2 linked regions of the Astyanax mexicanus genome follow. The protein of the gene in region 1 binds, or shares a complex with, the protein of each later gene. Links are inferred from orthologs where the notes say so. Each region holds a gene or a part of one and is shown on either strand. Other genes may lie near its edges. The genes, in order: mcm5 and gins2.

Region 1 (7,278 bases):
AACTGGTATCATGTCCCATGACTTTTGCCTTGTCCTGTGAACGATAAGGACCACTGCTTGGACATGTGCTTGTGATTTCTGCCGCTTGCTCACTGTGTGTGGTAATGCTTTTTATTGGCAAGACATTGAGGAAAATGTATGTTGCTCTGTTTTTTACACAGAGGTACTGATGAGCTTCTGGGGGTGATGGACAGAGTGCACATAGTGAACTCCACATTGGGCAAAGCTCTGGGTGGGGCAGCAGGCAAGTAATATTATTAATTTATAAATGTCAGGCTGTTTAGATTTTAAATTATATAAATTATGAGAATAGGTGTAGATGAACTGATTTAAAATGCATTAATTATTATTGTGTCTTTAAATTGTGAATGCAAATTTGTATGCAGAAACACTATTTTAAACTTAGCGTATATTTGTGCATTGCTTATATACATTAAGCAAATATACAGTGCCACGTGTTTCTTGTCATAACTCCCAGTTTTATTCTCTCAGGCGGTTACACAGTTGGACCTAAACCTTTAATCGACCTTCTCAGGCAGCGCTCTCGTCCTTATCTCTTCTCCAACTCTCTCCCCCCTCCTGTGGTGGGCTCTGCCACTCGTGCTGTGGAACTGCTCCTGGCTTCCAATGAAATTGCGCAGAGCATGGCGGCTAAAACCATGAGGTAGGAATAAAGGAGAGAGGGGAGGTTCAGTGCTGTGTTTATTCAGTTACAGATTTGTGCTGACCTGCAGATAGAAAGGCTCGCTGTGTTTGCCTGGGGCTATTCATGGTCAGATTGCTAAATGTTAGAATGAACAGAAAGAGATGTCTACATTCTCTACAACTTTGAATATATATTTCTCAACTGAGATTTGTTGTAAAAATATTCTGAGTCAGATTAAGGCCTGCAAACAAACAAACAAACAAACAAAAGCAATCAAAAGGCCTGCATTTAACATAGTCTTCTAACTTACAATCGAAGTTCTATACAAACATTTACAAAAGTTTTCCAAAAAATGTGCCAAATCAAATTATTCATAATCAGACCATCCATAGAGGCATTTGTTCCTTTCATGTGCCACCCGTGCAACATAACAGATCACCATTGCCTTATATAAGCTGGAGATGCCAGTATAGGGTGGTATAAGGTATTATTGTGAAGTATTGGGTATTAGTGTATGGTATTATTAGGTAGCACTAGGATGTATAGAGGAGTGATAGGTATTATTAGGGTGATAGGGTAGTATTGTGTAGTTTAGGGAATATTGGGCAGTAGACTGTAGTATATAGTAGTATTGGGTAATGTAGAGAATATTATATGATACTATTGGAGAACACTGGAACATATAGAGTAGTATTGGTAGTGCAGGGTAGTATAGGGTAGTATTGTGTATTTAGAGCAGTAATGGGTAGTACTGGAATGTATAGAATAATATTGGGCAGTGTAGCGTAATACTGGAATAAATAGAGCAGTAATGAATAGTATTGGGTAGGGTAGTGGGGCGAAAAGCTGCATATGCTGTATATCAAGCAGTAAGAATGTAATAAAGAATCCAATTTAATAGTATGTGTAACTGCTCGCTCCAAAAGAGTAAAAACTAAAAATGATGTTTTTCACAGTACATTTGTTACAATTCAGCACAGCACAGTAATGTCTAAAGGGAAATAATTTTAAAAGTAGCTGTTTATTCCTGTTTAATCTAATGGCAATGAGTGTGGTAAATCAATGGTGATTTATATGTTCTAAGTTTTGCTCATTACATAAAAATATCAGTTATTCATAGTATCAACTCTCAAATACAAACGCCTCTTTCTCTTCTCATCCATCAGGTTTAGAAACGGTATGACCCAGGCAGGGTTCACCATTGCAGGTGCCGCTCACCCCATCTGCCCTGTGATGCTGGGAGACGCACGTCTGGCTTCATTAATGGCTGACGACATGCTTAAACTTGGTAAGACCAAAAAAATTTTTTCCGCAGTTTCAGGTTGGAAAGCAGTCTGTTCTGATTTGCCGTTTTCTGAGATAAATTAACAGATACTTATAATTGCACTCTTAATACACGTTTGCAAATAAAACTGTAAACATGGTGGTGTAATTTAAGAAGATAATGTAACAACAATCAGAAAGTAATTTTTCCTTTTTTTCTCTTAGGCGTGTATGTGATTGGATTCTCCTACCCCGTGGTTCCGAAAGGAAAAGCCCGTATCCGAGTCCAGATCTCGGCTGCACACACCGACTCAGACATCGACCGTACAGTGGACGCGTTCATACAGACTGGCAGGAAGCACGGCGTCATATCATAACGTAACACTCATAGAAACAAGTGCCTTTCAAGGATCATAGATTCAACATGGAGAAAGAACTGCTTCTAGTAAATGGACTGTTACAGCAAAGCTTTACACTAAAAAAACAGATTTTAAAAATGTTATTTAGTGCTGCTGAAATTTAAATCAAAGTGTTTTGCACTAATAAATGCTTTTGTTTAACTATGTTTCCTTGCCTTTTTCCTTATAATCATCACAGTTTATCCTTTAGTCAGTCTTTGCTAAGAGTTATTTCTCATGCTAACCTTTCACTAAATGGCTTTGAAGCTAATTTAAATGTTGCAAACCCAGTATCAGAATGAAATCCGGTGCTATATCCACTCTTTAACATTTTATTGTAAATCTCCAAAAGAATCGAGTGACAGTCTTGCATACAGTGAGCCTGCTAGTTTCTCAGTGCTTGCAGAGTAATGCCATACTATTGTCCTTAAGCCATCCACACACTTGTAAAAAAGAAAAAAAATATTTTAGAAGACTGTTATAATATCAAACGCAGTTTAAAAAAAAATTGAATGTCAAGCAGAGACTTAACACCAAACAGATGATAAAAGCAAATCTAGCAAGACTCAACTAATTATATGCTGACACTTAGAGACTTGTGATTTACCTTGGTGACAATTAAATCGCTTTAAAGTTTAAAATTTTGGACCCACTGCAATATCTTTCCTGAAACAGGTGCTTTCATTGGCTCTAATTACCAAAACTAATGTAAGGCTGGACAATAATTCAGTATCAATATATATCATGAGCTGATATTTTAAGTATACATTATTTACAGTATATTTCTCTGACTGGAGTTTGTGTAATACAGTACAGTGTAATATTGGATAGTATTGGTTGTGTAGGTAATGTAGGGTAGTATAGGATAGTGTAGGTAATATAGGGTAGTATTGTAGTATAGAGTAATATGGGGTAGTATTGGGTTGTGTAGGTAATATAGGGTAGTATATGATAATGTAGGTAATATAGAATAGTGTGGATAATACAGGGTAGTATTGATACTATAATGTATAGAGTAATATTGGGTAGTATTGGGTTGTGTAGGTAATATAGAATAGTGTAGAGTAATATTGGGTAGTATTGGGTTGTGTACGTAATATAGAATAGTGTAGAGTAATATTGGGTAGTATTGGGTTGTGTACGTAATATAGAGTAGTATAGGATAGCATAGGTAATACAGAGTATTATAGGATAGTGTAGGTTATGTAGGGTAGTATTCAGCAATATTGGTTGGTATTGGGGAACACTGGAACGTATAGCGTAGTACTCTGTAGTATTATTGGGTAGTAGTAGTTTGTTGGACAGGCATTAATTGTGGGCATGCTTGGTAGTTTTAACTGTGCATTAAGAATAGAATTAATGTGATTATCTGGATAAAATAGGAGAAACAAACATGGATCTCACCATTTGGTATGGATATTCTCAGTAACAACTTCAGACTAAATGTCTGAATGGCCATGTTAACTGATGTATATTATGATTGCACTGTATGTAGCCTGTAGAGAATGTGTACATTATTCATAAGAAGTGGGTCAGTGTTGTAAGTTATTTAAACTCCTCATATTGGTGCAACAGCATAAACGCCATATTGGGTCAGCCCCAGGTTAACTCTTAGCTACCTCCCTTTGTTACATACCGCCAAAAAAAAAAATTCCCGCCACGGCGGACATTTGTCCCCGCCTTTTATAAGACGTATACCCGCGCAGCTCCAATGAGCGCGGCTGAATTTGACCAGGGGGCGGAGTCTCGGCGTTTTGCCGCGAAACTGATCAGCGTGGTAGGCACTTTGTCCATAGAGGAAGAAGCTGTGTGTATACAGGCGAGCGGAGCGCGGACAATCGCTGATATTGATCAGTTTTTGATTATTCTTTCTTTTAAATAGTCTGTAATCTTATAAAAAGGGCAGAATGTCCGGATTTGACGATCCCGGGGTTTATTACAGTGACAGTTTCGGAGGAGGAGGAGAAGGAGTGGGGGATGAAGGCTCTGTGAAGCGCAGTCAGATTAAAAAGCGCTTTCGGGAGTTCCTGAGGCAGTTCAGAGTCGGCACGGACCGCACTGGATTTACCTACAAATACAGGTAAATCTACTTATAAAACTGAGTTAATCTGAAAGAGGCTTCTGATTATCTTTTGTTGACCCTTTGTGTAACGTTAGATATGGTGGTGCTGGATAACTCTAGTTAACTCTACTTTTACCTGTGCCAGCACAGAAAATCGTGACTAAAATTATACATTTTTAAACCTTATATAAGAGGTTTCTGCACTTTTTATTTGGAATTAAAACGTTTTTATTGCTTACTGAACTGGTTGACCTGGCTAGGGTTAGCTCATTTTTTTAAACTGAGCTAACGCTAGCTAATTTAGCGTTAGCTGTCTAATATCTCATAACATATTTTTTTTTAAAGCTTCGCTTACTGCAGAATGTTGTCATATTGTGAAGAGTATGTGATTTAAAATTAAGAAAACAAGAGCTATAAGAATTATTTATTTGACCCCTAGTGGAGAAATTCAGTGTTACAGCAGCAGTGGTAAAAGTTATACCAAAGCACACCAGAAAGATGAAACGTTAACAAAATAAGTATTAGGACAAACACTTTTTTATTACTGCCTAACCCACTAGCTGTCTTTTTTTTTTTTTTTTTTTTTTTTTTTTTTTGGTGAAACTTTATCTGATGAAAGTCACGAAATAGTCATTGCCTTTACAACTCTTCTTGCTCGTAGGAGACTTTTATTACACCGGAAATCAAAACACCCTCCAACTTCTGTGTGGCTTAGAGACTTGATGAGAAAATTTCACTAAGGGGCTGTAGGGGGAAAATCCGTTTTAACCTATATAGACAGCAATAAATCTATAATAGACAATGAATAATACACCCTTCCCTCTTTTCTATTCTCCTCTATATTTTTATTTTAATTATTTTTTTTTATTGAAATAAGAAGCCATTGTATTCTGGAGTGGAGATCTGTCAAGGTTTTTTTTTTCATAAATGTAAAAAATGCAAATATTTAATTGTGACTACTTTCTAATTTGTATTTATACATGTTCATAAAAATAAAATTATTTAAAAACTTTTATTAATACTAATCTAAATAAATAAATTTATTAACAGAAATGCACCTAGCCCACCTTCTTCTTTTGTTTATTGTGCTGACTTTCTTTTTTTTTTCCCACAGAGATGAGCTCAAGAGGCACTACACTCTTGGAGAGTACTGGGTGGAGGTGGAGATGGAGGACCTGGCCAGTTTTGATGAGGACCTGTCAGACTGTCTGTATAAGCTGCCCACAGAGAACCTTCCTCTGGTGAGTACACACAGTGTAAAATTAGACATGTATATTCTACAGAATCTCCGAGTAAAAATGCAGTTCTTGGTTTTTGTTCATTGTGCATTGATCTGCTCTGTTTATTGGTAGCTGGAAGAGGCAGCCCAAGAAGTAGCTGATGAGGTCACTCGCCCACGGCCTGTAGGAGAAGAGACCGTGCAGGACATCCAGGTCATGCTGAAGAGTGATGCCCATCCTGCGTCCATACGGAGTCTGAAGGTAAGATATCTGGGGGCTCGTCAACTCTGCAGTGTATATATGTTTACCTATGACTGCTTGCCATCCTTGCTATCTCTTATTTTTGTTTATTCATATATATTTTTTGCTTTTCCCATTTTCCACAGTCAGAGCAAGTGTCTCGTTTGGTGAAGATCCCTGGTATCATCATCTCCTCCTCAGCAGTTCGAGCCAAAGCCACCAGAGTGTGTCTGCAGTGCCGAGGCTGTCGTGCGGTCATCAGTAACATCCCTCTGCCCCCTGGACTACAGGGCTATGCTCTGCCCCGCAAGTGCAACACGTGAGTCTTTTTTTTTTAATTTCGGTTATGTATCCGGCTATTAATATTGTTCAAAGCGAAATCATTCACTGTTTCACATCAGACCTCAGTTTGTGTAGTAAACCTCGTACGCTCCTCCTTGGTCTGCAGGGAGCAGGCGGGCCGTGTGAAGTGTCCTGTGGACCCCTACTTCATCATCCCAGACCGCTGTGTTTGCGTGGACTTCCAGACCCTCCGTCTGCAGGAGTCTCCTGATGCTGTGCCTCATGGAGAAATGCCCCGCCACATGCAGCTCTACTGCGACAGGTATGTGCACACTGCTGCGGGGAGGTTAATCAAATAAATTTGATTAATTGAATTACAGTTTTAGTCTGATTTTTATGGGGTAATTGAGATTTTACATCTTTATGCATAGAACCTGCCAGAGGGCATTTCAGTAAACCTCTTATGTGGCAGTGATGTTGAAATTTCCTTATGTGAAATACAAGGAGGTTATGTTTTCACCTTGTTCTGTATAAAAGCTGCTTTATATTCTTAAAAAGTAGCTAATTTTATTTTTTCTAAGTTTTGTTTGCACGGTTTGGACTTGAATATTGATGTAAAAGAAACAATGGTTCAGGGCTGATATGGTCATGAAAAACCTGGAAAAGTCATGGAATTTGAAAATGGCAATTTCCAGGCCTGGATAAGTTTGGGAAAAAATATAAATGTCCAGAATGTTTTATGAAAGTAATGGAAATTTGGTCTACAAATCTTTGTGTTTCAGTTTATTAGTGAAAAATTTATTTTGAGCTAAAAAATAAGTCATCTTAGCGTATGTTCAGTAATTTAAGCCTACATAATGGAGCTGACACAATTTATTAATAAATATTGTGTGTCCACCTTTGATCTGACTCATTTTAGGCCTACTATAATCCATTTTGATTTATAGTTTTAATTTAGTTTTAGATTTTTGGTTTTATTGTCCATGTCTGCACGAATATTTTAAAAACCGTATAATCATTTTAAATGGGCCTTAAAGGCATAGAAAAGATCATGGAAGGCATGGAAAAAATCATGGCAATTTGTTGGTTAAAACATGTATGATCCCTGATGGTTCTAAATGGTCCTATTTTCTTTACTGTTTTGCCATAAATAAGTATTTATTATAA
Region 2 (7,409 bases), on another chromosome or scaffold:
ATATTGTTATAAATAAGTGAAGTCTAAATCTGAAAGGCACTTTATGTATAAACAAAGCAAACAGAGTAAACCATTGAAATATTTAATATGTGACTTCTTTACAGCAGTCCAATAAGTAAATGTCAGTAATGACAATGTCAATAATAAGTCCTCAGCAACATTGTTTTTGGAAATGTTTAGAAATGGCTATCTGAAGGTTTATTAAGAACAGTCTATTCAGGTGAGATACTATTCATTGCTGTGACATACAACTCCAGAAATAAAAGTAATGCCACATTATCCATGCAGGCTTAAACTTAAACTTACTGGTTTAGTAGCAATTTGGTCAATTCCATGTAATAAGCACTGGGGATGGGAGTGAAGGTGTCCTCTTTTCTCTCCTGCTCCCTGATTTCTTCCAGTTTATCTAAAAGGCACAGAAAATTGAGAGATTACATAAAGCTATGGGAAACATGATCAAAACACAACAGGCTGTGAAGCTGTGAAAGGCTGTCAGGTAAATGTATGTTAATAGATCCCAAGCAAAATTTAAACAGGATCCAATTTGTGTTAGGTAAATGTTATTGATTGTTTATATTCATGTGAAACATAACTTCATAAGTGAAAAAAAAACATGCAAAAATGGGCATGGGCAACAAAGAGGGTTCCCAACAGTCTGTAAAGTACAGAATCAACCCAAACTTGTAACTAAATACACATTCCTAAATACAGACAAATGTTGTTGTGTATTTTACAAGACAGCTAAACTGAATAGTTATTCCTCAGTCTGGATGATCAGCCTTCCTACTTCCTAATTAATAGTGTTATGATTCTCTGTATCCCTACAATCAAAGCAGAGTAAACTTTTTTTAATGAGAATTACTTGCTTCGTTTAGAAACAGACAGATGCTAAAGTAGGAATGATTATTCTAGACCTGACTATAAGTGTCTCTGTAGTGTGTTTAGGTGCGTGTGCAGAACATTTGTATGGAGAATAAAGTTGGTAATAAAGGCTGAGCAACCATATTCTAACTGCTTCCTCTGCACTGTATATAAAAGAAAAAAAACATTCCATTTTGACAGGCTCCTTTCATCTGTAGCTCGATTTTTTATTATAAGTATTATCCTTTTGTGTCAATGTATTCCCCTTAATGTAACCTACAGTATGTCACATTGTTCACGTCACTATTTGCGTGAGCCAAGGCTCAAGACTTACAATAATATTAAAAAGGGTTCATTTTATCTGAAGGCCAGGGCGAGAAAGAGACTTAAACCTTCAATCCTAACCACTGAAAGATGTAGTGCGACCACAACTCAACTCTAGAAAGACTTTTATTATTTTATCCCTACACCAGAAATTTGTCTGCAACAGTAAAATCGCTTGAAAATAGTTTGGTGTATAGTCGGCATAAGTTTCATGTGCATTTAGAAGTAGGGCTGCAACTAGTGATTATTTTGATAGCTGACTAGTCTGATGATTTTTTTTTCTGCAATTAATCGGTTAGCCCTATTTAGAAGGGGTAACCACAAACATTGGGACAGTGTAGGGGTGTGCGATATTGTATCCTACACAATAATATTGCCTACATTTTAAATAGTGTGAAACATTGTGCCATATCACTAACCCCTAATTAAAACATCAGTGCATTACTTTTTTGCGATATTTCCCAAAAGAACAATTCACGCTGTTTTCATTTACAACTATAAATCTACTAGAGACAGACTATATCTGTCCAGTATAATTTTTTTTTCTTTAAACCTGGAAATATGGAGATATTTGGAGTGTATGATTAGTATGACATTCTGGATTATTGATGTCTGTTATAAATCTGATAAATCTTGTATTATTTAATATCTCAGTTAGGGGTGTGCCATATCATAACACATGCAACCGTAAAAATTAAAAAAATAATAATTTTGTTGTTGTAGTACCATAATCTTCTTCTTATTTTTTTTATCTGTGTTTAGTCATATCGCCAAAAATACTGTGATATTATTTTAGGGCCATATCGCCCACTCCTAACAGTGCAAGGAATCCAAAAGCTATTAAAAGTTATAAACTGTGAATAATGAATGCTTAATTATTTTAGGAAAGACCCAGAACCCCAGAGTGAGGATTGGTTACCTGCGTCCATCCAGTCTGGAGGAACTATCCTGCATTTCTGCCTCTGCTTCAAGTTCAGGGCCAGCCAGACCGGCACATCCACCGGCAGCCCGGGGTTAAACGGACCCAGATCCCCCTACAAATATACGATCACAACACAAGAGCTTATAAACAACCCGGTGTTGTGTCGAGTTGTGCTACCTTGTCAAACCGTGCTACCCTAGTGGTATTTAATTTATATAAAAAGGTCAAAGTAAAAAAAAAAAACATATTAGAAAATACTCAAAGCAGAAGCCTAGGTGAGGTAACGTTATGTGGATAGGCTAAGTTAAATCACTGTAACGTTAACGTTATCAGGTAAAATAAAAAAAGGTAAGGTCATACAACAATATTGTTTTTTTTTTATCTTTTATTGTTAATTATTATTTTTAACTGCTATTTACAGTACAAAAATGCAAAGATGATGTTTATTACCCAAAAATAAAAAGTAAGTAAGTTAATTATAGAAAGAGTACAAAAATAAACTTTTGGTCGGCGCATGCGCAGTGCCGTAAAAAAGCACATATCGATGGGTAGCATAACTCGACAGAACACCGGCGAACAGCCCCATTAACCCCCAAAACAGCGCTGCTGCTGCTGCTGTCGGATAAACACTTAAATGTATAAGTTTATAACTCGCTAAATTAACTAGAGTTAACTTAACTTACGTAACGCTAGTTAATCAGGCAGCCTCTGAGGGGAGACTATGCTAAGCTAACACACACTAAACTAACGTTACTCACCCCGATTAAATAGATCTTATCCAGGCTAAAATTCGGGATAATCTTCACCATTTCCTTCTCAGCGAGGAATTCCACCTCAGACGGATCCATGCTTTGTTGAAATATCGACGGAAAAGCCGAGAATAATCCTTAAATCCCCCGAAAACTCAGCTCCGCTTTTCCCGCGGATTGTTCAGACAGGCTGCGTGACGTTACAGCCCCGTGGTTTAGCCGGAGCCGCCCCCCGTTATATCAGAACCCGCCGCTAGAGGGAGCCAGCGAGGAAGACCTCAATGAATGGGAGTGAATGGAGCACCTCAGTTTCTGATTTTGCTACTTATAGGTATAAGTTTGAGTAAATTGAACATTGTTGTTTTATTCTATAAACTACGGGCAACATCTCTCCCAAATTCCAAATAAAAAAAAAACATTGTCATTTAGAGCATTTATTTGCAGAAAATAAGAAATGGCTATAATAAAAAAGAGAGAGATTCAGACCTCAAATAATGTAAAAATAAAAGCTCATATTCATAAAGTTTTAAGAGTTCAGAAAGTAATATTTGGTTCAATAACCATGGTCCCATAACTGGCACAGCATGTGCACTAAATGTGCTCCTCTGTCTGGTGATGGTGCTGAGCAGAGGAAGGTGTTCAGCAGCTTGCTGAGGGCTCTCCTCTCTGCCAGTGTGGTTAAGGACTCCATATCTAATCAGCTAAATTGCAAAAAAAAAATAATAATAATACAAATAGTAAATTAATACTACAAGAGATTCCTTTAATTGTAAGATTTAAAATACATTATTTTGCTAATACAATGACCTGCATATTTCCATGTTTCTTAAAAAAATGTTTTAGGCAGTAAAGGTGTTTGCATTACTGCTACTGTGAGCTGACTGGTTTTAGTTTAGTTTATTAAAAAAAATCCAAAAATGTATTGGTGGAAGATTTAGCTTATTTTGTTATTTACATAACTAATATACATGTCTGTTACACTGTGAAGTATCACAAAAACAAATAAAACAAACAATCCATAAGAAACACCTTACAATTTCATATATGCAAAATAATTCCTGTTTTGTACTTGTTTACCATTTGTTTAAAGGTTTATAACTGGAGTTAGCAATGATACAGTTTATATTTTTCGATGTTGAAGAAATTAGTTTAATTGTCAGTGTACAAATAATCAAACATTTATAAACTCTGTTTTCCATACATTTTGGACAATAATTCGTCACAAACCCAAGTGGGTTTTCTCACTTGGTCCTTTGGTTTAGCCTGTAATCACCACGTGACCTAGCCACCAGGAGGCGACAGAACTGTGATTTTGTTTTTTTTATTTTTTTTAGTTATTGATTTAGTTTTTTTAGTTTGTTGTTTTTTTTTTTTTTTTAAATAATAACCATGATTTGGAAATAGAAAGTTTTATACTCCTGTAGAAACTCTCTTTATTGCTGAGAGAAATAATAAAAAATGTGATTCTGTGTCGAAAAGGGTGCACAGTACTGCAAATAGTACATTCCATCATGATTTACTACTGATAGTTTAGGTATGCTTTCATTGGTTATTTGAAATTTATAAATGCAGTTATTGTGGCTGTGTATTTTTTTTCATGTTTGTGATGGTGAGAATCTACATTCTATTTCTAATTTTATATTGCTTTTATTTATAAGCCATCGCTGCTCTTTTGTGTTTAATTTCATTGTTAGAGTTTTTAGTTCCTGTACTGCTTTTCAACTGGTCATGCTCCTGATTCCTCAAGTAAAAACAAACGATCCAAAACGACATACACAGCGACACAATACAATAAATAACCAGTATGACTGAAAGCAATACTGTGGAAAAAAATCAGTGGACAAATACATCCATGTTGCTGGTTCTTGTTTTAAATACCCATAAGACACAGTGTCAAAAAAAGAATGTACAAAGATTTCTTCAAAAGATTTTATTCTTACATTTAGTTTTACAAAAGCTAATTTCAATCATCTCAATCATATTTTAATAATGATATTAATAATTATATTAATCCTATCAGTCCTCAGTGAATATTACTGAATTACACAACTTCCAAATCAATCATTTTAACACAAATATCACCTGTGCCTTATTAAACTAAACTCATATTTGGTAGAGCATCAAAAATTGCTTACATATTAAGACTAATCTTCTTTTAAAGTTGCATCTTAAAAGAGGTATATACATTAAAAATATTAGTGAAATAAACAATTTTCTTTAACATAAACTCTGAACGATTATTTATTATCTCTGTAAGGCTACAGAATTCAGGGAAAACAAACAAGCAATTACATTTGAAAAAAAAAAACACATCTGAATCATTCTCTAGCATTTACAGTTGTATTGTGTATGGATATTAAAATAAGTCCTTCAAGCTGATGGCTTTACGCTTAAATGGACCTTATTTGCATTTAAGGTGGTAAATAATCTTGACCAGCCACTTCAGCTGAAATGGGAAAAATACGCAATGCTGCAATTTCCATCCCATTTTTAAAGGATCTGTGGTTGTGTTTCAGATTGATTAATAAAATTCAGAAATTAAAACACAAATCCAACCAGGTTAGTATGTAAGAAAAGAAAAGTTGGATCTGTGTTGATTCAAGTTATTTTGCTCAAAATAAACAATAAAGTGAAGTGGAAAATTAAGCTTTGTTAGTAAAAGAAAACTTAACGACGTGAAAAAAGTAGAACTGATCGTAATCTGCTATAAACCACCAAATTAATAAGGTTGTGCGTCAAATGGATGCATATAAATTGCTGCCTGACAACAGAAAAAAAGAAAAACAGACCAAAATATAAATCATGCCATGAAGGTCAGAATCATCTCAGACCTTCATTACACATGTTGTACCAGTGTCCTGCTTGCCCTTTAGAAATGCGTCCTTTCCATCAGCTTTTCCCATTGGGAATAATCTTTCTATGGGACTGAACTCAGTAACAATACGCAACCCATTTTGGCATTGATGGCTTGAACAGTACAGGAGATCTCCTCGACGGCTTCAGCATAGATGCAGCACAGATTTGTTGATTTCAGGATTTGTCCAGTCGTTCCTGAGGTCATCCAGGTGGTTGTCAAAGTCTATGAGGTTTTCATAGGACCTGTTTTCCAGGAGGGCTGACGTGATCTTCTGAGCTTCTGTCCAGTCTTCAAAAGAGTCTCTGAAATGAGATTCAAAATCCACAGTCAGTCATATGCAGATACTTATGCAAACTCTTGTAAAATGTTACTCAACACATTAAAAGATTCTAATTTAAAAAGCACTAAAACTACCCTGAGATTAGAGCTGGGCGATATCGTAAAACGATAAAATCTTGAAATTCTGCAAATTTATATGCAATTCTTGATTACAATTTAGATGTTTTTAGTTCCTTATGATACACATCAACTGATAAGACAGTTTTAATCAGTTTCTATTTTAGGATAACATAATATAAATAAATAAACAAACAAACAGCATTTACAGCTTTTTTTATTTATAAATTTAATTTATATTTTTTCCCATTTTCTCCCCAATTTAGCACAGCCAATTATCCAACCCACTCATTAGGACTCCCCCTATCACTAGTGATGCCCCACCTGCGACCTCCGCTCGTAGTGGCAGCGCTTTAGTCTGCTGGACCGCTTGGCGCCCAGCATTTACAGCCTTATATCAAGTATACAAACATTCATGTTCAAGGGAGTCAAAACTGTGCAAGCTCTAAATAAGATACAAACCTAACCCACTTTTAGTTAAAGAAAACTGAAACATATGAAAATAACTGTAAAATACACCGTATGAGAGAGTTCTTTAAAGGTATCTTAACAGAAACACAAGCCTATTACCTAAGATTCCCTCTTCCAGGCTCTAAATGTACATATCTACAATCTCGATTATCCTATTTTGAAAATCACATTAAAACAGTAATTTGATTAGTGTTAGAGTTAGAAGAGTTAGAGGCAAATCACACTAGTATATCTCCCAAAAATTCAGGGAAGTACCAGATTTGTGACCTTAATATACACTTTTAATCATGACTAACCACAAAATTAAAATATAAAAATATTATTTAATTTTGCCAACCTTACATTTCTTATTTAATTTACAATTAAATGTATTTTATCAAACACTTCACAGAATATTAGTTATGTATGTTTAGTGGGCAGACATTTCCTTCTGTAACTCACATTTTAACTGTGTGTTACGTTGAAAGTGGTACTCTATACTCTAAACATGCTTAGTCGTTTATTTTTAAATATAATGGTTTAATTTACTTTTGTTGGAGTAGTTGTCTACTGCACAAGGAAGGCTTTCTACCAGATTTTAGCACACTGCTGTGAGGATTTGATTGCATTCAGCAACACGATATTTAGTAAATCAGGATGATCAACACATCCACATCTGCCCAACTCTAAATCTATAAATTATTAGATGGAGCATAAATATTCCAGAGAACACAGTTCTGCCACTGCTCTACAGCTCAGTGCTGGGGTCTCTATAGCCCTCTAGAACACACCCATCATTAGGCATGGTGCCAACAGGTTCATGTTTCTCTGCTCTAGAGAGTTCTATTTT

What was found.
Region 2: mcm5 (region 1) and gins2 share a complex: the UniProt entries of both Homo sapiens proteins name them as parts of the CMG helicase complex. The link is inferred for Astyanax mexicanus from reciprocal best matches to the Homo sapiens genes MCM5 and GINS2.

The regions. Positions count from the first base shown.
Region 1 is NC_064426.1:29,520,843-29,528,120, reverse strand, and holds the start of mcm5 (DNA replication licensing factor MCM5), read left to right. Parts: upstream 1-4,074; 5' UTR 4,075-4,214; coding exon 4,215-4,387; intron 4,388-5,483; coding exon 5,484-5,610; intron 5,611-5,721; coding exon 5,722-5,850; intron 5,851-5,975; coding exon 5,976-6,148; intron 6,149-6,277; coding exon 6,278-6,433; intron 6,434-7,278. Other genes in the region: gcat (2-amino-3-ketobutyrate coenzyme A ligase, mitochondrial), read left to right, coding at 162-244, 493-664, 1,813-1,934, 2,135-2,286. UniProt on the Homo sapiens protein: Acts as a component of the MCM2-7 complex (MCM complex) which is the replicative helicase essential for 'once per cell cycle' DNA replication initiation and elongation in eukaryotic cells.
Region 2 is NC_064416.1:12,866,001-12,873,409, forward strand, and holds the start of gins2 (DNA replication complex GINS protein PSF2), read right to left. Parts: upstream 3,077-7,409; 5' UTR 2,956-3,076; coding exon 2,866-2,955; intron 2,220-2,865; coding exon 2,105-2,219; intron 407-2,104; coding exon 307-406; intron 1-306. Other genes in the region: emc8 (ER membrane protein complex subunit 8), read right to left, coding at 5,856-6,015. UniProt on the Homo sapiens protein: Required for correct functioning of the GINS complex, a complex that plays an essential role in the initiation of DNA replication, and progression of DNA replication forks.